Cricetulus griseus: one gene and its partners. The protein of the gene in region 4 interacts with the protein of the main gene of each other region in a pairwise test. Links are inferred from orthologs where the notes say so. Each region holds a gene or a part of one and is shown on either strand. Other genes may lie near its edges. The genes, in order: Cdc37, Rad23a, Trim63, Sqstm1 and Snca.

What was found.
Region 1: the proteins of Sqstm1 (region 4) and Cdc37 interact in binary tests that used the Homo sapiens proteins (3 or more experiments, as listed by UniProt). The link is inferred for Cricetulus griseus from reciprocal best matches to the Homo sapiens genes SQSTM1 and CDC37.
Region 2: the proteins of Sqstm1 (region 4) and Rad23a interact in binary tests that used the Homo sapiens proteins (3 or more experiments, as listed by UniProt). The two-hybrid records come from large-scale screens. The link is inferred for Cricetulus griseus from reciprocal best matches to the Homo sapiens genes SQSTM1 and RAD23A.
Region 3: the proteins of Sqstm1 (region 4) and Trim63 interact in a two-hybrid assay, tested with the Homo sapiens proteins (2 studies listed by BioGRID and IntAct). The link is inferred for Cricetulus griseus from reciprocal best matches to the Homo sapiens genes SQSTM1 and TRIM63.
Region 5: the proteins of Sqstm1 (region 4) and Snca interact in binary tests that used the Homo sapiens proteins (3 or more experiments, as listed by UniProt). The link is inferred for Cricetulus griseus from reciprocal best matches to the Homo sapiens genes SQSTM1 and SNCA.

Annotation. Positions count from the first base shown.
Region 1 is NC_048597.1:134,007,012-134,011,242, reverse strand, and holds the start of Cdc37 (hsp90 co-chaperone Cdc37), read left to right. Parts: upstream 1-1,425; 5' UTR 1,426-1,537; coding exon 1,538-1,639; intron 1,640-4,231. UniProt on the Homo sapiens protein: Co-chaperone that binds to numerous kinases and promotes their interaction with the Hsp90 complex, resulting in stabilization and promotion of their activity. Inhibits HSP90AA1 ATPase activity.
Region 2 is NC_048596.1:159,529,357-159,533,530, forward strand, and holds the start of Rad23a (UV excision repair protein RAD23 homolog A), read left to right. Parts: upstream 1-1,373; 5' UTR 1,374-2,774; coding exon 2,775-2,846; intron 2,847-4,174. UniProt on the Homo sapiens protein: Multiubiquitin chain receptor involved in modulation of proteasomal degradation. Binds to 'Lys-48'-linked polyubiquitin chains in a length-dependent manner and with a lower affinity to 'Lys-63'-linked polyubiquitin chains.
Region 3 is NC_048595.1:18,970,581-18,974,094, forward strand, and holds part of Trim63 (E3 ubiquitin-protein ligase TRIM63), read right to left. Parts: intron 1,853-3,514; coding exon 1,684-1,852; intron 790-1,683; coding exon 694-789; intron 1-693. UniProt on the Homo sapiens protein: E3 ubiquitin ligase. Mediates the ubiquitination and subsequent proteasomal degradation of CKM, GMEB1 and HIBADH.
Region 4 is NC_048600.1:64,660,050-64,663,563, forward strand, and holds part of Sqstm1 (sequestosome-1), read right to left. Parts: intron 865-3,514; coding exon 644-864; intron 280-643; coding exon 84-279; intron 1-83. UniProt on the Homo sapiens protein: Molecular adapter required for selective macroautophagy (aggrephagy) by acting as a bridge between polyubiquitinated proteins and autophagosomes.
Region 5 is NC_048601.1:81,930,559-81,934,072, reverse strand, and holds part of Snca (alpha-synuclein), read right to left. Parts: intron 1,149-3,514; coding exon 1,006-1,148; intron 1-1,005. UniProt on the Homo sapiens protein: Neuronal protein that plays several roles in synaptic activity such as regulation of synaptic vesicle trafficking and subsequent neurotransmitter release.

The DNA of each region.
Region 1 (4,231 bases), on a different chromosome or scaffold from region 4:
CTCAGGAAGGCAGAGGCAGGCAGATCTCTGTGAGTTCAAGACCAGCCTGGTCTACAAGAGCTAGTTCCAGGACAGCCTCCAAAGCCACAGAGAAACCCTGTCTCAAAAAACCAAAAAATAAAATAAAACATCTGGAGCTGGAGTTACAGACAGTTATGGACTGCTATGTGGGTGTTGGAAATTGAACCTGTGTCATCTGGAACAGCAGCCAATGCTCTTAACTGCTAAGCCATCTCTTCAGCCCCTGAAATGTAATTTAAAAAAATAAATTTTAAGGGCAGACCCAGTGTAGTGGAGCATGATTTCAATACCAGCATTGGGAGGCAGAAGCAAGGAGATCTGTGAGTTCAAGGCCAGCTCAGTCTACATAGTGAGTTCGAGGACAGCCAGGGCTACATAGTGAGACCCTGTCTTGAAAAAAAAAATTTTTTTTAAGAGTAAAAATCGGGGCTGGAGAGATGGCTCAGAGGTTAAGAACACTAACTACTCTTCCAGAGGTCCTGAGTTCAATTCCCAGCAACCACATGGTGGCTCACAACCATCTGTAATGAGATCTGGTGCTCTCTTCTGCTGTGCAGGCATACAAGCAGGCAGAATGTTGTAAACACAATAAGTAAGTAAATAAATCTTAAGAAAAGTAAAAATCTGTCGGGCACTGGTGGTGCTCGCCTTTAATCCCAGTACTGGTGGGGGCAGAGGCAGGTGGATCTCAACTCATTCCAGGCCAGCCTGGACTACAGAGCTAGTTACAGAACAGCCAGAGCTGTTGCAGCTGTTGAAACCCTGTCTCAACTCCCACCCCACCCCTAAAAAAAACCGCAAAATTTCACTCTTTTCTGTTTGTTTTGTTTTTCAATACAGGGTTTCTCTGTGTAACAGTCCTGGCACTCGATTTATAGACCTGCCTCTGCCTCCTGAGTGTTGGGATATAAGGCGTTTCTTTTTGGTTTTTCGAGACAGAGTTTCTCTGTGGCTTTGGAGCCTGTCCTGGCACTCGCTCTTGTAGACCAGGCTGGCCTCAAACTCACAGAGATCCGCCTGCTTCTGTCTCCCGAGTGCTGGGATTAAAGGCGTGCGCCACCAACGCCCGGCTCAATTTTGATTTTTTTGAGACAGAATCTCACTGCGGAGCCCTGGCTGGCCTGGAACTGTGTCGATCAGGCCTGCCTAGAACTCGCTGAGAGTGGCCTGACTTTGCTTTCCAAGTGCTGGGACTACCGTGGGCCGACAACCCCTAGGCAACTACCTTTTTTGTCCCCAGGGGATGCTCGGTTGGGTTTCGGCGGGAACTCCCAGAAGGCTGAACAACGTGAGCCTGGCCCTTTAAGAATCACCTCCGGTCGTCAGTGCCGCCGAGTCCCGTTGCTAAGGACGTGACGTCACGCGCGGATGCTGGGGCGGGGCCGTCGTGCGCGGCGCCGTGAGCGGAAGCGGAAGGGGCGGGGCTCCGCGAGCGGACTCTCTATCCCTTGTGGGTCCCTGTTCAGCGCCCGGCCGTGTGGAGCGCCGGGAGCCAATCCGGGCCTCCTAGGCGAAGATGGTGGACTACAGCGTTTGGGATCACATCGAGGTGTCGGACGATGAGGACGAGACGCACCCCAACATCGACACGGCCAGCCTCTTCCGCTGGCGGCACCAGGTGGGGCTGTGCGCGCGCATCCCCTTCCCCCCACTCCCGGGACCCCCCGCTCTAGAGTTCTGACCTCTTACCCTGGCCGCCCTGGTTCGGGCGGGTCGGGGGAAACTCAGTTATTGACATCGGGAGCCTCCTATTCCACAATCTGAACTTTCTGTCTCTCTTATTTTTTAAAAAAAATCGAACCAGGATCTCACTATAGCCTTGCCTGGCCTGGAACTTGCTATGTAGACCAGGCTGGCCACTAACTCACAGAGATCCGCCTGCCTCTGCCTTCCCAGTGCTGGGATTAAAGGTGTATACCGTCATGTGGCCTGGACTGTTAAATTCCATCCCAGGACTTCAGGATCACTGGGCTTCCTAACTCTCCACGGTCATCTCTGGGCTTTCCCCGCTGCTATCTCTTTTATTTTATTTGTACATTTGTTTGTTAGTTTACTTGTAGTGGTGTGTCTTGTGTGCTCGTGGCACAGCTTGTATCTGTAGATTAAAGGACAGTTAACAGAAGTCAGGCCTCTCCTTTCACCACGTTGGAACTGGGCATGGAACTTAGGTCACCCCAATTTGCCACAAGCACCTCCTATACACACTGAATCTTCTTATCAACTCCTAATACTTTCATCAGAGTCTAGACTCTCCAAACGCCGGCCCTTGTGAGTAGGGGTCCCCATCATCCTGTATGGAACCTTTTTTTCTCCTCAGAATTCTTTCTCGGAGTCCAGAACTCAGATTCTGTTAGGCTCTCCCTTGTTCTAGCCATGTGCCCACTGCTGATTGAACACCTCCCTTCTGCCTCTTCTCAGCCCCTGGAGTCTGGGTCCACGATACTTTTGATTTGATTGGGGCATCTACTTCCCAGGATCTTAAGCACAAATTTACATTAAGGCCCAGAGATACCCTGCCCCCAACTCCCAAACTGAATGAGAACTGTGTCTTACACTTAATTTCCCGATCTTAGCTTTCCGCTGGGATTCCACAACCCAGGGTCCCTTTCCCTGGAGTACAGACCAGAATCCCACTGGGGACTTCAGTCCCACCTAGGACTTCTCTCCATGTGGCCTCCAGCTCCACTGCTGCCCTGTGGCTTCCCTTACTCTTGCCTCCTGTAGACGCTTTTCCCCTTATTCCAGGAAACCCTACCCACTTAACTTCCGTCCAGAACCTCTGCCTGCTCCTTTATAGTAAGTAGACCCCCATCCTGTCCCTGGCTCCTGTATGAACTTTGGCCATCATTGAATACTCACCAAAATAGGAGCCGGGCAGTGGTGGTACACGCCTTTAATCCCAGCACTAGGGAGGCACAGGCAGGCCTGTGAGTTCCAGGTCAGCCTTGTTTACAGAGAGAATTCCAGGACAGCCAGGACTACACAGAGAAACCCTGACTTGAAAAACAAACAAACAAAAAACAGAAAGAAAGAAACTCACCAAACCTGAGCTCAGAACCCCAAACCTATTCTATCCTTCCCACCCTTTCCCCTGCAGCCTCCTTGGCTTCTCTGCAGTGTTCAAATCATCCTACTTAACTGGGGGAATCTCCTGGATCTTATCCCAACATCACCTTACTTCCTGAGCATGATGCCACATACCTTTAAACTCAGGTCTTGGGAGGTAGAAGTAGGAGGATGAGAAATTCAGTCAATCCTTGCTACATGTTAAATTCTAGGCCAGCTTGAACTACATGAAACACTGTCTCAAAAACCAAATAGGCTGGTGCTCAGTTGTGTGTCATTGCCTTGCACTGTGTCTCCAGCAGTGCTTAAAAGCTAGCCATGGTGGGACAGGCCTGTAGTCCCAGCACTGTGGAGATGGGAACAGGAAAGTCAGAAGTTCAAAGCCTTCAGCCACATAGTAAGCTTGAGGCTGGCATGGACCACATGGGATCCTGTCAACACCCAAGCAAATAAAATAAAATCCTACACATTTTTTTACATCTGTCCAGAACAGAGTCCCCCAGATTCAGACCTTAGAATCCCGTGTGTTTGAGCCATGGTTTTCCACCCCTCTTCTGCCCGGCATTGACCACGGGACAGTAGTGTACTACCAAGATCTAAGGGTGGTCTGGAGATGTGGTTTAGTGATAGAGCTCTTGTGTGGCATGCAGGAGGTCCTGGGCTCCATCCATAGCACAACAGTAAAGAGACAAGGGTCTAACCTGCTCTCCCAAATCACAGCATCTATATCCACCTACCTGTGTGCTATACCCTGTGCTTAAATTGTATTTTATTCATTTGTGTATACACTCCTGTATGTGTAAATGTACATGTGTAGTCCACGGAGGATAACTTGGTGGAATCTGTTTTCTCCTGCCATGTGGGTTCTGGGGATCAAACTCAGGTTTTCAGGCTTGGTGGCAGACCTTTACCCACCGAGCCCTCTCATTGGACCCTGAGTTTGTTATACTCTCAAGCTTAGGGCAGGTACTTTCTGGTTAGGAATTTTGCACCCCATCTTCCTGAGGGCAGCTCCTGCTCATTTATCTGGAAGCTCCTAGAAGGTCCTCCCTGTCTCCCCCAAATTAGTGTCTGTCCTCCACCCAATTCACACACCCATTCCTTCCAGTTTCCTAGGATGACTGCCTGCCAGGCAAGCTGCCAG
Region 2 (4,174 bases), on a different chromosome or scaffold from region 4:
TTCACCATATATCCAGGTCTGGCCTGGGATTCCCTTCTTGCCTTCCCACTGCATCAACATACCTGTCCCTCCCTCCCTTTTTAAAAAAAGTTTTGACAAGAGTTTCACTGTGTAACACTGGCTGGCTTAGAACCCCACAAGTGGTCTGCTTCCTCAGTGCTGGGGTTAAAGGCATGTCCTGCCACCACACCTGCTGCCCTACAGGGTGGAAGTAGAGTCCTGTCCAGAGCCAGGGCTGTCAGAAGTTACTGCTGACCATATGTCTTTCCATTCTTCCCCAGGTCAAGTCTGGCACAATCTTTGACAACTTTCTCATCACCAATGATGAAGCCTATGCAGAGGAGTTTGGCAATGAGACATGGGGTGTCACCAAGGTGAGCTGGGTTCCTGCTTCACTGGGGGTCAACTGGGAGAACAGGCAGGCAGGCAAAAGCCAGGTACTAAAAGGTGTCTGTGCCACAGGCTTCAGAAAAGCAGATGAAGGACAAGCAGGATGAGGAGCAGAGGCTGAAGGAAGAAGAAGAAGACAAGAAGCGTAAAGAGGAGGAAGAGGCTGAGGACAAAGAGGATGAGGATGACAGAGATGAAGATGAAGAAGATGAGGATGAGAAGGAGGAAGATGAGGAGGATACTACCCCTGGCCAGACCAAGGATGAGCTGTAGAGGCCATACCACCTGCCTCCAGGGCTGGACTGAGGCCTGAACACCCCACTGCAGAGCTGGCTGCTCCCAATAATGTCTCTATGAGACTCAGGAACTTTTCAGTTTTTTCCAGGCAGGTTCAGATCTGGGGTGAATTCTGATTTTGTTTCCCTGCCTCCCCCCAACCTCCCCCCTCCCATTTTTTTCTTTTTTTACTGGTGTTTGTCTTAATTCTCCTTTAGCCCTCAACCTCCTGGCTTCTCATTTTGAATCAACATCTTTCCCTATGTCCCTTTTCTCTATCCAACCCCTGGTCACAACCCTCCCAACTTCAGGAACGGGTGTGGAGGAAAAGTCCTAGGCTTGAGATTTCATCTGCTCTCCTTCTTGGATCTCAGAGGAGTGCAGGAGAAGGGGGTGGTGTATCCCTCCCCCAGCACTGAGGAAGAATGGGGGTCTTCTCATCCCCGTTCTCCCTTGCCCCCAGGACTGGGCCACTTGTGGGGCAGCCAGTTCTAGCACAGCTCACACTGAGAGTGTAAGAACTACAAACAAAATTTCTATTAAATTAAGTTTTGTGTCTTCCCTATCGTGTCTCCTTCTCTGGGAGGATTACGTCAGGGAATCAAAGGTGGCCTTTTGAGGTGCTGGTGGCTCATGTTTGAGCTATTGGAGTTGGCGGAGTCCAACAAAGTGACATGGCTGCATATGATATGTATCCTGTAATCTTAAGTAGGAACGCAGCTGTCAGGTTTTGATGCCAGGTCTCCCTGTAGTAATTCCCTTGTCCTGGCAACAGACATGTGATTGACAGCCTGGTGCTGACTACTGGGGCGGATATTTGAACCTTAATCTTAACCATCTATTGTTGGTTTCCTTTCTGAAACTACTACATAAGATAGTTGGGCAAATTCAAACCTCACATTAGTGGAGTAAATGCTGGTAGCTCATTTTATAGTCAAAGAACTAAAGTCAAAGATAGTGAGTGGCTTAACCCAGCGGCCAATATTTCTAGGACTAAGCTGATAGAAAAGGGATTGGTTTAAAGATTGGGTTGTGTTCCGTTGGAGATGGCTTACCTGGCATGCCCTACCACAGGAAAAAAAAGAAAATGGGATTCGGGTGACTGATGGGGTCTCAAGGTTTCCATTTTAAGCTCCACTGAGTAGGTTGGAAGGTGGGCAGGAGGCCTGTGTTATTAGAAGGAAACTGATTCGCCCTTGGCAGAACCTTGCTCAGGTGACCAGAGGGAGGCAGGCCTTTGGCAAGTGCTTTGTCACTGGTGTGGCTAGAAATATGGCAAAGCAAGCTCCAAAGTAGTGAGTATTAAGTGTTGATGCCTATGTTGTATTTACTGAGAACTTTAGCTTCTTAAGTCACCCTCAAGATGCCCCAGCTTCCCAAGTCTGACATTTCATTACCTTTTAGTATGTGGTGGTAACCTAAGGCTTGTAATACCCCTTACCTCCCAGAAAAATAGGTGCAAGCAAGGAAAGTCTATGGGAGGAAGAATGAAGTATTTAATACAAAGGAGCCTTGCACATATTAATACTTTTGAGGTGTTTAATAGTTATTGCAGGACCATGAAGAGGTAGGGGACCCATGAACTAGAAGTCAAAGCTTATTCCAAAAGTGATGATAGTCTTGAAAATGGAGCCACATAAGTTACCATTTTTACCTTTGAGATTTATAGTAACTTCACTTTCTTCTAGGCTTGAGTAATTAACAGTGCTCTGTGGGATTTTTTAAATTTTTGCCATGTCCGAAATAGGTCAATAATCCTATAACAAATACCTTAAAAACTTGGAGGTGGAAGGGGGGTAGCTCAGAAGCCATTTTACAGGCATATGACATCACTATTAGGCATGACATCACCCAGACCCTATGATGTCTGTTCCCACAGCAAAAGCTCAAAGCTGAGTTTGCGCATGTCTAAGGTAAGGAAGCGTTGCCGCGCATGCTCTAGAGGTCGAGGGGGTCACAGGCGGGTCATATACACTGACGATTTGCGCGCGCTTCCCTCTTGTCCCGGAAGTGCTTTCCCTACGGCACAGCTGGGCGCTAAGATGGCGGCGGCGTGAGTTGCATGTTGTACGAGGATCCTGGGGCTGCCGCATTGCTCCGGCCCCGCCATGGCCATCACCGTCACGCTTAAAACGTTGCAGCAGCAGACCTTCAAGATACGCATGGAGCCTGAGGAGACGGTGCGGGCCGGAGCCCGGGGGCGGGAGCGACCGGCTGTCGGTCGGGGTGGGTGGGGGCAGGGAGGCCCGGATCCAACGGGAGGGGCGGGGAGGACTTGCGGCCGGGCCCTGCTGCCCTTTCCCAGCGACCCGACCTCCTCGCACCCCCCTTCCCATCGCCCCTGCCCTGCCCCGGGGCTCAGGCGCCCTTCCCGGGTTGGCCCCAGGGCGAGTCCCCAGTCCCGCTCCTGTGCCAGCTGCCGACTCCGCATTCCCAGCCTGCAAGCCGCTCGGGTGACCACGTTTGGCGTCAGTGGCCAAGAGGTGCCAACTGGTGACAACAATGTTGATAATAATAAATGGTCTTAATCTTAATAGTTTTGGTGGTCCGTGTTTGTTGGCCGTTTATTCTTTGCCAGTGTCGTCTTGCTGAATCTGCAAAATAGTGTTGTCCTTTGGGGACTCCTAACTTTCCCCGTTTGACAACCTCAGAGTTAAGGAAGTTTGCCATGGTCACAGCAAGTAATGGAAGAGACGGGATTAATTTTTTTTTTGTTGTTTTGTTTTATGTAACAGACAGCAGCCTAAACTTGCTGCATGAACTTTGTTTGCTTTTGCTTTTTGAGAGTGAGGTCTTGTTTTGTTGTCCAGTGCTGCTTTGAATTTCTGGGCCCAAGTGATAGGTATTGCCTTAGCCTCCCAAGTAGGTGATACTATTGTTTGAGCCACCTCCCCTGAATCTTCTCAAATATACTATGAAGCCACTGCTATACCCTTAGTGAAGTCTAGGCATAGTGGTCATGTCTATAATCCCTGAACACTGAGGCCAAGATGGGGATTGTTTTAAGTTCCAGACCAGCCTGAGCTATGTAGTTAGGCCAGCCTGGAGTGCAGAATAAGACCATTTCAAAAAAGGAGGGGGTAAAGGATTTCCTCAATAATTACAGAACAGTTAACTTTTTGTGGCCAGCAGTGGGTATACCCTTTCATTTCCTTTTTACTGTTTCCCTTCTCAACAACATGACATCTGAAATACAAGTTTGCTTTTTTTCTCACATCAAGGTCTTCTCCATGAGAACAGTGACTGAATTCTGTTTTGTTCTGTTCCACAGGCTGTTGTAAAACAGGGTTTGGGATGGAGCTCTTGTAGAACAATTAGGCCACCACAATCACACGCACATACACACACAACGAGCAGCATAAGTGTCTGGCCTGTAATAGATTGCTGTCGACTGGCCACATTGAGTAGGAGTCTCTTATGATTGAGAGCAAAGCTTTTCCCCTAAGGTAAAAGGGTCAGGAAAGGTGTCTTTATTTTATCTGAGACAGTTTCACTATATAGTCCTGGC
Region 3 (3,514 bases), on a different chromosome or scaffold from region 4:
CCAGCAACCACATGGTGGCTCAAAACCACATGTAACTCCAGTTCTGGGGGATCCAACTCCCTCTTCTGGCCTCCTCAGGCACTCACACACATGGCAAAACACCTGGCTGGGCTGTGGTGGTGCACGCCTTTAATCTCAGCGCTGAGGAGGCAGAGGCAGGTAGATCTCTGAGTCCCAGGCTGGCCTACAGGGCAAGTTCCAGGACAGGCTCCAAAGCTACAGAGAAACACTGTCTTGAAAAACCAAAACCAACAACAACAACAAAACCACCCATATACATTAAAAAATAATAATAAATGAAGAAGTGTGGAATCCCATTTCATTCCTGATCTACCGAATCAGAACCTGAGTTTCCACAGGCTCCAGGGTCAAGTGAACTTTTAAAGGTCCAGGAACCTTGCTCTGCAGCAAAATGATTGATGCTAGAGACATTCAGGGAGTTGGTGGGTCCCTGCAGTCAGGGACCAATTGGGTCTGGCTTGACCTTGGGCAGGGTCTGACATAACTGCTATGTTCATGAACTATTTGCCAAGTGAGTGGGGGAATGGCTGTGCCCTTTTTCTGCCATCTATATTGGACACCCAAGGCCCTAAACCCCAACCTAAACTCACAACTTAGGCCTTTCCCAGAGACCAGCTGCACTTGAGGTGTCCACTCTGCCTCAGCGCTGACAGGGCCACTCAGCACCCTCACCTTTGTCACTCGGCAGGAGTCCTCCAGCTGAGAAATGATAGTCTGCACTCGGTCATTCCCTGCCACCAGCATGGAGATGCAGTTACTCAGTTCAGTCTGAATGGGAGGGGTGAGAGAGGAGAGACAGAAATAGATTCAGAGCCGGCTGCTTCTCTGACAGAGTCACCAATAGGGTTGCTATCCCTCCTTCTGGGGTGCAGTTAAGGTCTAAAGTAGAGACTAATACAGATGCTATATCCTTTATGGACGGATGAGACCCAGAGAGAGAAACTGAGCACCCCAGAACACACAGCAAGATACTGACAAAGGAACAGAAGAAAACTTTCTTCTTCTTCTTCTTCTTCTTCTTCTTCTTCTTCTTCTTCTTCTTCTTCTTCTTCTTCTTCTTCTTTTCTGAGCTGGGGTCTTACTATGCTGGCCCAGAACTTACTATGTAGACCAGGTTGGCCTCAAATTCATAGAGATCCACCTGCCTCTGCCTCATGAGTGCTATGCTTAAAGGCCTGTGCTGTCTGTCATACCCCCTGGCTGCTAATTTCTGAGAAAAGGAATAGGATTGGAAAGTTCTAGAAGACAAAAGTCCAAGAGCCAAGTGGCATGTGGAGAACAGAGTTCAGGAAGGGCTACAGCTTACTACAGACACCATGCTGGGGTTGCCAGGGGCCCAGGGAAGAACCTCGACTTTGCCTTGTGCTACATGAGAGGCCCAAGTGGAGAGGTATGGGACCCCAGAGTACACAGGAGGGGAAGCCATGGCCTGGAAGGGCCTGGTGGCCTGTCCCTGGGGTCTGGCCTCTTCCCTATGGCCACACCCAGGTGTTCTCAAGTAGCTCTAAGTATAACCCATGAGCTCAGCCACCTCCCCCAGGGAGGCAACGGCTGCTGTCCCTGTGGCCTGGGAAGTCCCTCCAGAGGGACTATTCCTGAAAGGCCGGCTCAGCACATCCACAAGGGTCAAATCCATCTGGGCACAGTGTTTGTAGTCAATACCTTCTGTCCCTGGAAGATGTTTTGCAGCGGGGCTACCTCACAGGCCTGGTGGGCCCCGAACACCTTGCACAGGGAGCAAGTAGGCACCTCACACGTGAGGCAGTAGATGTTGATTTTCTCATCCTCGTGCTCCTTGCACATCGGGTGGCTGCCTTTCTGCAGGGGCCGACTGAGGGGGAGAAGAACCACAAGTTAGGGATGTCCCCTCTAACTGTCCCTTGCTAAATCCAAGAACAGGAAGCCACCACATCCACATGCCAGTTCCCAGTGTGTACCTGCTCCAAACAGTCTTTGTTTTATCTTCTGGGAGCCCAAGATCAGGGAGGCTAATGACACCAAACCTGGCTAATGACACCTAAACTCAGACTCCAGCATTAGGGCTGGCCTGAGTTGGTACAGGGAGCCCGGGGAGGGCCCCGGAATTCTAGAGTCAGACCAGAAGATGCTGACCTTAAGGAAGAGGCAACAGAGTCCCAGAAAATGAACAGACTTGCCCAAGGTCGCCCAGCACAGAGGCAGAGGAGGTTAGAACGCCTTTGCTCTAATTATAGCCCCATAGCTCTTGGTTGCTGGGCCTGGGCAACTTATTTTGATGGCAACCCTTATGTCTATATTTAATCTATCAGACCATAGCCTTCAACTAGGCTGGGAAGCCTGCTTGTTTTTCTCCCCTGCGTCTATAACGTACAGTACCTGGCGTGGAGACCGTGGAAATGAAATGCAAGGAGGAAGAATACACGAGTAAACACATCCTGAGGGTGTCCGAGGGTTAGGAGAAGGGGACAGTATGTACACCCTAAGCCAGACAAACAGCACATGGTTGGGGGCAGGGCTGTGTAGCAGCCCCGTGCAAAGCTTGACCTCATGGGGCCCATATATATCTAATATATATATATATATATATATATATATATATATTTCAAGACAGGGTTTCTTTGTAGCTTTGGAGCCTATCCTGGAACTAGCTCTTGTAGACCAGACTGTTCTCAAACTCACAGAGATCCTCCTGCTTCTGCCTCCCGAGTGCTGGGACTAAAGGAGTGAGCCACCACTGCCCGTCTTCTTTTTTATTTTTAAAAATGCCTTTATTGACTATGCGTGTATGCTGGGGTAAATGTTTGCACCACGTCACACGATGGAGGTCCGAGGACAGCTTGAAGGAGTTTGTTCTCTCCTTCTACCATATGGGTCCTGAGGGTAGAACTCGGGTTGACGGCTTGGCGGCAAGCACCTTTACCCACTGAGCCATCTTGCTGGCCTAAGTGTTTCTTCCTGCTGTCCTAGGACCTTTCTCCCTTTATTGCTTTTTCTGCTTAGGGTGCCTGGCATGCTCCTCTCTAGCATCAGTCTTTCCCAGCATCTACTCGGGTTTTAGTCAAGGTTTTACCTCCCAAGTGAGACAGAACTTGGCTCCATTCAGGGTAAGCAGCCATGTCTACACTACCTCTGATGCCAGCCCCTAACATGTAAGCATCTCCTAAACCTCAAACTGACTGTCCCCATCAGTATCAATGTCTCACCTCCCAGCAGCCCTGCATGGCTGTAGCACCCCAGACTTCACTGCCCCCTCCAGGAGCCCCTATCCAGGCTGGTTTTTGGTTTTGGCTTTGTTTTCATCTTTGAGCTCAGGGACCTCATACTGAGGTGGCTGTGATGGTGGGGGTTTCCCCGGTGCCACCTGCTGCTCTGCCCCAGGGTGTAAAACAAGATGGAGCAGACCTGCTGTTGAAACTCCCTCCCTCCCTGGCGGTCAGGTATCGGGGTCAAACACTTGCTTGATTTGTGTGATCTTACTCTTCAAGCCTCAGTGTCTCTCAGAGCTGTCCCAACC
Region 4 (3,514 bases):
ACCCCATTTTGTGTTACCAAAACCAGACTTGGGCTAGGATACTCTGAAAGCAAAGGAAAATGAAACTTCTGGTGACCACATGCCTGGTGGGAGATGTGGGTACAAGGCAGCTTCCTTCAGCCCTGTGGGTCCTTCCTGTGAGGGGTCTAGAGAGCTTGGCCCTTCTGATTCCGGCATCTGTAGAGACTGGAGTTCACCTGTGGACGGGTCCACTTCTTTGGAAGACAAATGTGTCCAGTCATCATCTCCTCCTGAGCAGTTATCAGACTCCATCTGTTCCTAGAATACAACCTGCTGTGAGCACAGGGGTCTAAGTGACTGACCAGTGGGACCCCACGATCTGTTCCCAGCAAAGTATGGCAAAGAGAGCTGCCTGCAAAGGACATGTCTGTCTGATTTTTTTCCCGTAACGATAGGGGTTGAACCGAGGACCTCATGTATATCAGGTAAATGCCTCATAATGAGTTACCGCTCCAGATCCAAGAAAGTCTTTCTCAACAGAGTTCTGTTTGAAGGCTCAGAGTGACTGGAGACACCACAGGGATAACAGGAAGGACAGGATCCCTCTGGCTGCAGAATGGCTTGGGCTGAAGCCAAGATGCCAAGCAGGTCAGTTAAAGCTAGTGGGAGAAAGCAGACCTACCTCTGGCTGTCCCACTGACTCCAAGGCGATCTTTTTCATTTGCTCTGTCAGGGACTGTGAAGTGCCTTCGCCTGCCTCGTCAGGCTTGTTAACCTCTGATGAGCAGCTACTTGGCTGAGTGCTGCACTTGTCTTCTGTGTCCATGCTGGAACTTTCTGGGGAGGTGGGTGTCAGGCGGCTTCTCTTCCCTCCATGTTCCACATCAATGTCAACCTCAATGCCTAGAGCAGGAGGAGGAATCAAGCTGTCAAGTCCAGAGGCCTCCCCTGCCTGTGACATCAGTGACTCGGTGAGTTGGGCACTGTGGACTTAGGAAGTGCTTCAGACTTAGTCCCTCACAGCACATATGGATTGGGACACTGGCAGTCAGCATAAGGATGCAGAGGCTAGACTCAACCTCAGGGCCACATAACCATGTAACCATGTGACAACCCCCATGGGCCAGCTGAGCTCCTCCTTCCAACCCAAACTTGCTAACAAGCCTATCACATTGGTCCTTTCCCTTCCCCTAACCCACAAAGTCCCCAGAGGGAACTTTCTCCCAACCCAGTAGGAAAGCAGGCTGCAGGAGGGCTAGTACTATACATGGGCAGAACACCTAACCATGATTGCTGGATGCCACAACACACAGGATCTCATGATGCGACAATTACACACCTGAACTCCAAGTTTCAGTTCCGTGTGTGGCCAGTCTACCAGCCTGCTCATGTCTGGTGGGGGAATAAGGACAGGCAGCTTCACCTGTGCTGCTCACAAACTAAATGTACCAAGGACAACACACACACAGCTTTAACAGTTCCTTCCCACTCTCCAGAATCCCCCACTTTCAGCCCCCACATCTGTTTATTTCCTACTGTGTCAGTATTTACCTCCCCTTTCCCTGTTCTTTTAAGAGCTACCTTTGACTGAAAAAAAAAACAAAACAAAAAACACTACTAACGTGCTATGTAAATGTTGCTGTGCACAGGGCTGTATGTCCTCTCTATTGTCAAGGGTCTCTCTCTCCTTTTGTTTGCTAACTTCTTGTTTCTTCTCCAGAGTCTTTCATTTTCTGTGGTTCAGGGCTCTCAGTCGCCCATCAGGTCTGGCTTTTGGAGAGCACCTTCAGTGGCCAAGGCCCTCCTCTAAGTTGTCAATGCACATGGGATTTCCCCCTAGTATTTTCTAGCAAAGGTCAGCTAAATTCTCACGGATGGAATCCCCAGAGGGCTGACTGTATTCATTTGAGATAGTCTCTGAACCTAAGCCTTCCTTCTATCACTCAGCTTTTTTTAAAAAAATAGTAACATTAATTTTTATGTGGGTGTTTTCCCTGTATATATGTATCTGTGCACCTGTGTGCTTGGTGCCCATGAAGGTCAGAACAGAACAACAGATCCCCTGGAAATGGAGTTACAGACAGTTGTGAGCCACCATGTGGGTGTTGGGAGTTGAACCTGACCTCTGCAGAAGTACCAGTGCTGTTAACTACTAAGTCACCTCCAGCCCCCTCACTCAGTGTTAGCACTTTCTTGTTGTTTCCTTTGCTACATTTTTTATGGCACCTGCTTTCTCATAAATCCAGTACTTTTCTGTCCTCATCCTAGCACACTTTCCCAGGTTCGGAGGCTTTCCTCAATGGCCAGCCATCCCAGAGGCACTGGCAAGAAGCTCCGCCTGCAGGACCAGGGCAGTTGCCAGCTTCACATATGCCGATGTCCAGAGACAGGCATCAGTGAAACCCAGGTCCCAGGAGCTGGTGTTCTTTGCCAGGGTGTTTGGCTGGCCTCCCCTCAGCAGGACTCTTCAGCTGTTGTCAGGCCAGTGGGGCTGAAATGCTAGGCCCCTTGTTCCCCTGCTCACTCCTGATGCCCACTTCTAGGCTGGTGCCTTAGCTTATGTGGCAGAAGCTTCTCAGAGAGAGGCACTTCAAGTACTGAACATGAAAGTGCTGGGTGGAGCCTGGAGCTCTCTAACTCTCTTATGAAAGGTCTTCTAGCTGCTTTCTTGTGCCTTGGCCTGTCGCTCCCTCTCACCCTTAATGGTACCAGTCCAGTGGGGATTGTTTTGTTTTTTGACACAGGTTTCTCACTATGTAGCTCTGGATAGCCTGGAATTTCCTATGTAAAACAGGCTGTCCTTGAACTCAGAGCTCTGCCTAACCATTTTCCTGGTGCTGGTACTAAAGGCATGTGCCATCATGTCTTGCTTCTTACAAGGGTTCCCTGTGCAGCCGCCTCTCTCTGTGGGTTACTCCCTGCCCTCCATTTCATCTTTTTTTTTTTATTTTTTACATTTATATGTGTGTGGAGGTCAGAGGAAAACCTTCAGGAGTCCGTTCTACCCTACCATGTGGGTAGAGTGCATGCCAACCACAAACACAGCTCTGGGTTCAATCTCCAGAACCATACACATAGATGGTTCAAGCAAACCGAAAAGTCCCTTGAGCCCCATCCCCAACATCCACACCCCATTTTTTCTAAGCAGGTGCAGGACAGGATCAAAAAGATGTTGAATTGGGGGTTTCTCAATGGAATAATGAAACCCCAAGACTGAAGGGCTCACAAATAATGTTTGATGGTCTGTGGCCTGCTGTCCCCAAAGCCTGTGTTTGTCAAAGACCCAGTAACAAGGAAGGACCTGCTACTTTGTATTGTAGGTGTCAGTGACCACAGCCTCTGAGCCAAACACAGTACTGGTCCACAGTAGCAGCCTTCCTTGGCTGGTTCTCACAGAACTTACCAATAAAAGGCCTTGGCTCTGGCTCACCCCAAACCTCTGCCTTCTGAGAGACTGTGCCAACTCCTTTCCCTCTGGGCCTCTGCTAACACAATCCATTAGAGGCAGTTAGCATGTGAGTCATCCCCTGCTTAGTTCCTCAGAGAAAAAGGG
Region 5 (3,514 bases), on a different chromosome or scaffold from region 4:
TATTAAAATAAGGATTGGTATTTTTTAAAGGTACAAAACAAGCCCAAGTTGACATAAAGTGTTTTTAATGACCCATTTGTGATTTATATTGCAAATTTTAAATGCAAGCTAAGTGGGAAATAAATGAGACATGATTCCCAGCCTTTCTATATCCAAAGCAACAAATTCTTCCACTAACTTTAGTATTGCATAATTCAATCTACACATCAGAGGAAGCTGTGTGTTGGATATGGCTAGGGAAGTGACAGTTCAGATAGATGTGTGTAGGGTCATCCAGGTAACTCCAACAGGCTACAGGAAAATGATGCTCACTTCCCCGCTGTGAATTCTGCATTCCTCATTGTAAAATCAAGAAATAGTTTTAAGCTGATGTTCTGTTGATGGCCTTCTTTTTATATTTGTCCTTTAGTACATGATCATGTATTTTTCTGGTAAGAGACTCCATTTTTATACCTAGAATATGTCACTAGAGCCCTTTATTTATCCAGAAGCCAATTTAAAATTCTAGAAATGTAAGAGTCACCATATGAAACCATGATCTGTGTTTGGTATGTACTTTAAGTCTCTCAGTTTTCAAAAGCATATATTTGGTAAGGAATTGATATTTGATATGCAAATATGTCATATAATAAGAGATTGGATCATTACAAAGAAATCAAATAAAAGATCTTCTTTCTGGAAATTTAGGAATTAGACAGAGAAACAAATTGCTATTTCCACAAAGAGGAATTCCAGACCCATCATCCATATGAAAGCAGCCATTCTTTCTGAAATGTCACCAATTCTTCAGCACTTACTGTACTGTTCACTTCTGTAGCTTTCTTTCAGAAATTCAAACAATCAAGGATATTGTACAATGTGCATGACATTTTCCATAGCATGTCAAAATAAGAGCCCTATAAAAGTGCAATCCTTCCCCCCAGTGCGCATCCAATGGCTGCTTTCTGATACCTGTAAGGAATCTTGGTGTACTTGGTTTATCATTGTACAAATCAGCAGCCTTACCTTGCCCAGCTGGTCCTTCTTGACGAAACCAGTGGCAGCAGCAATGTTCCCTGCTCCCTCCACTGTCTTCTGGGCAACTGCTGTCACACCAGTCACCACTGCCCCTCCAACATTTGTCACTTGCTCTTTGGTCTTCTCAGCCACTTAAGAAAATCAAGAGCAACAACATTAAAAGATAGTGGTGTGGCAGACCTTAATTCTGCTTCCAATAGCTGTCAACTTCTACATACACCCATGCCATAGATAGCAAGAGTCTGAAGAAACAAGACACCAAGGGAGAACCAACAGGGTGCAGCCAAACACTGGGTCTGTGTTACAATTATGTATAGACTAGAAAATCTTGAGAGTTTAGTTATAACACAATGCAAACAAGATTTGGTTTGCCTTGAGGCACATAGACAGAAAACAAGGCACTAGGTACAGTATTAAGTTGTCAGACTCTTTGAGCACTATTTCAGTTTCGATGCCAACTATTTGATCTCATTTACAAAGTTCACTTCCATTATCTGCTCAAAGTACATGCCTCTCCCACATCTAGATTCACTGTTTTCTATGTACAAAATTCAAAATGTTCCTAAATCTTTCACTTTCACGTACCACCAATTCGTACCACCAGCAGAAAATTTCAACCATAAACTTTGTTGCATGTTCAGAATTATTCTAAAATAGAATATGAAATTGCCCTCAGATAATATGTACAGGTATATATAGTATAAGTGAATTTCATGTTTAGACTTGCGTCCTATTACCAAGACAACTCATTATAAGTGTGCATTTATCCCCAAATCAAAAATAATTGAAATCTAAAGCAAGTGTTCCTTAAGCACCTCTGATAAGGAGGCCCTATGTGTTCAAACATGCTCCTAGAATGATTTGGAAATAGGTGATAGAAAAAGACATGGTAAAGAAAAAGATAGTTATTTTAAAAGATTATTTTTAATTATGTGTACTTGTGTCTCTTGGGGCAGTTATGTGCACATGTGTGCAGGTGCACAAGGATGCCAGATAGTGTTGTCAGATCCCCTGGGGCTGGAATTACGGGACAATGAAGGTCTCCCAGCATGGGTGCTGAGAACATAATTCTGATCCTATGGAAGAGGAGCAAGTGTTCTTCACACTGAGCTATCCCTCCAGCCAAACAAAAATGTTAAGACAAAATTTCAGTTAATGCAAATCAAATGTATTTCCATTAACTCCATAGTTCCATGCAAGGAGTGAAAGACATGAGAGCCCACTTTTTAAATAATACTAAGTGAAAAAGTAAAAGAACCTGTCTGCACCTGAACCTCTAAATCCTATATCCACAAAGGCAAATGTCTCCCAACTCTCATTCGAATGGATGTCATGTTTGCCTTTCATTTACTCTACAATTTTTTTTTATTTTGCCCCATATATCAGCATTAGGTTGTTGAGTCCCCACTCCTCCTGTGTTTTCTCTCTTGAGCAAAAAAGCATGTTCTTCTTCAGGATCTCCTGAGAAGCCTGTATCCTCGTAGCCTGAGCTGAGGAATCACACCACATCAACTGTTCACATGGTTACTGCACTATACAGATTTCATGTCATCAGCCAGAAAGACAAATAATCCAATAATGTGGACAATGAAAATTAATTCGGAAGGAACAAGTTGTGAAATGAAGTTTAGTTGGCTTGTAAAGTCACAGCTGACCCCTTAGACCAAGCAGTGTGGGGAAGCCTGAAGGTCACTCAGACTGCAACCAGAATTCACATAGGTGACTCTATAGCTGCCTTTCAGGTTTGAGCTAAGTCTGCCTATGGAATCCCTGCCCCTCAGTGTGCTACTTGAAGAGCACTGGATATTCACAGTAATTTTAAAGGCCAGAGCAGAGCTATATTAGAAAAATTGATTTTAAACAGCACTGGAATTATACTGAACTCTGTTTCAGCTTGTTACTTTTTCTTCCAAGAATATGATTTAAAAATTTGCTTGAGATTAACATTTTCTTGTTAAAACATCTCAAAGCAAGACAAAATAGGCTTTGCCTTTTTACATCCTCATGTTTTCTGCCAACCATAAACTTTACTTAATGTGCACACTTCTTTATATAAATATAAACTTTAATCTGTTATTTTTAAAACACAAAAATTGTACAGTAAGTATAATTTATACGTGATTTCCATTTTACTGTTTTATAAAAATAATAAAGAACATTATAAAATGACAGAATATGGTAGTATAATAATAGCTATGGCTAAAAAGATAAAATTATAAACATCTGTAGGAATATATTCTGTCTTTAAGGTTTACAGTTTATCTACTCATTGGCACTGCCTTAAAAAACAAAAGGAAACAAACCTTTTAGTGCTCTGTCTGTTTAATAAATGACTTCTATTTTGTGGTTAAAGATGTTATAATAATGATCAAAAGAGAATTTAGCTACTATCTTAGTTAGGGTTTCTACTGCTGTGATGAAACAGTATGACCGTAAAGCAAGTTGGGGAAGAAAGGGTTTTATTCAGATTATACTTCCACATTGCTGTTCATCACCA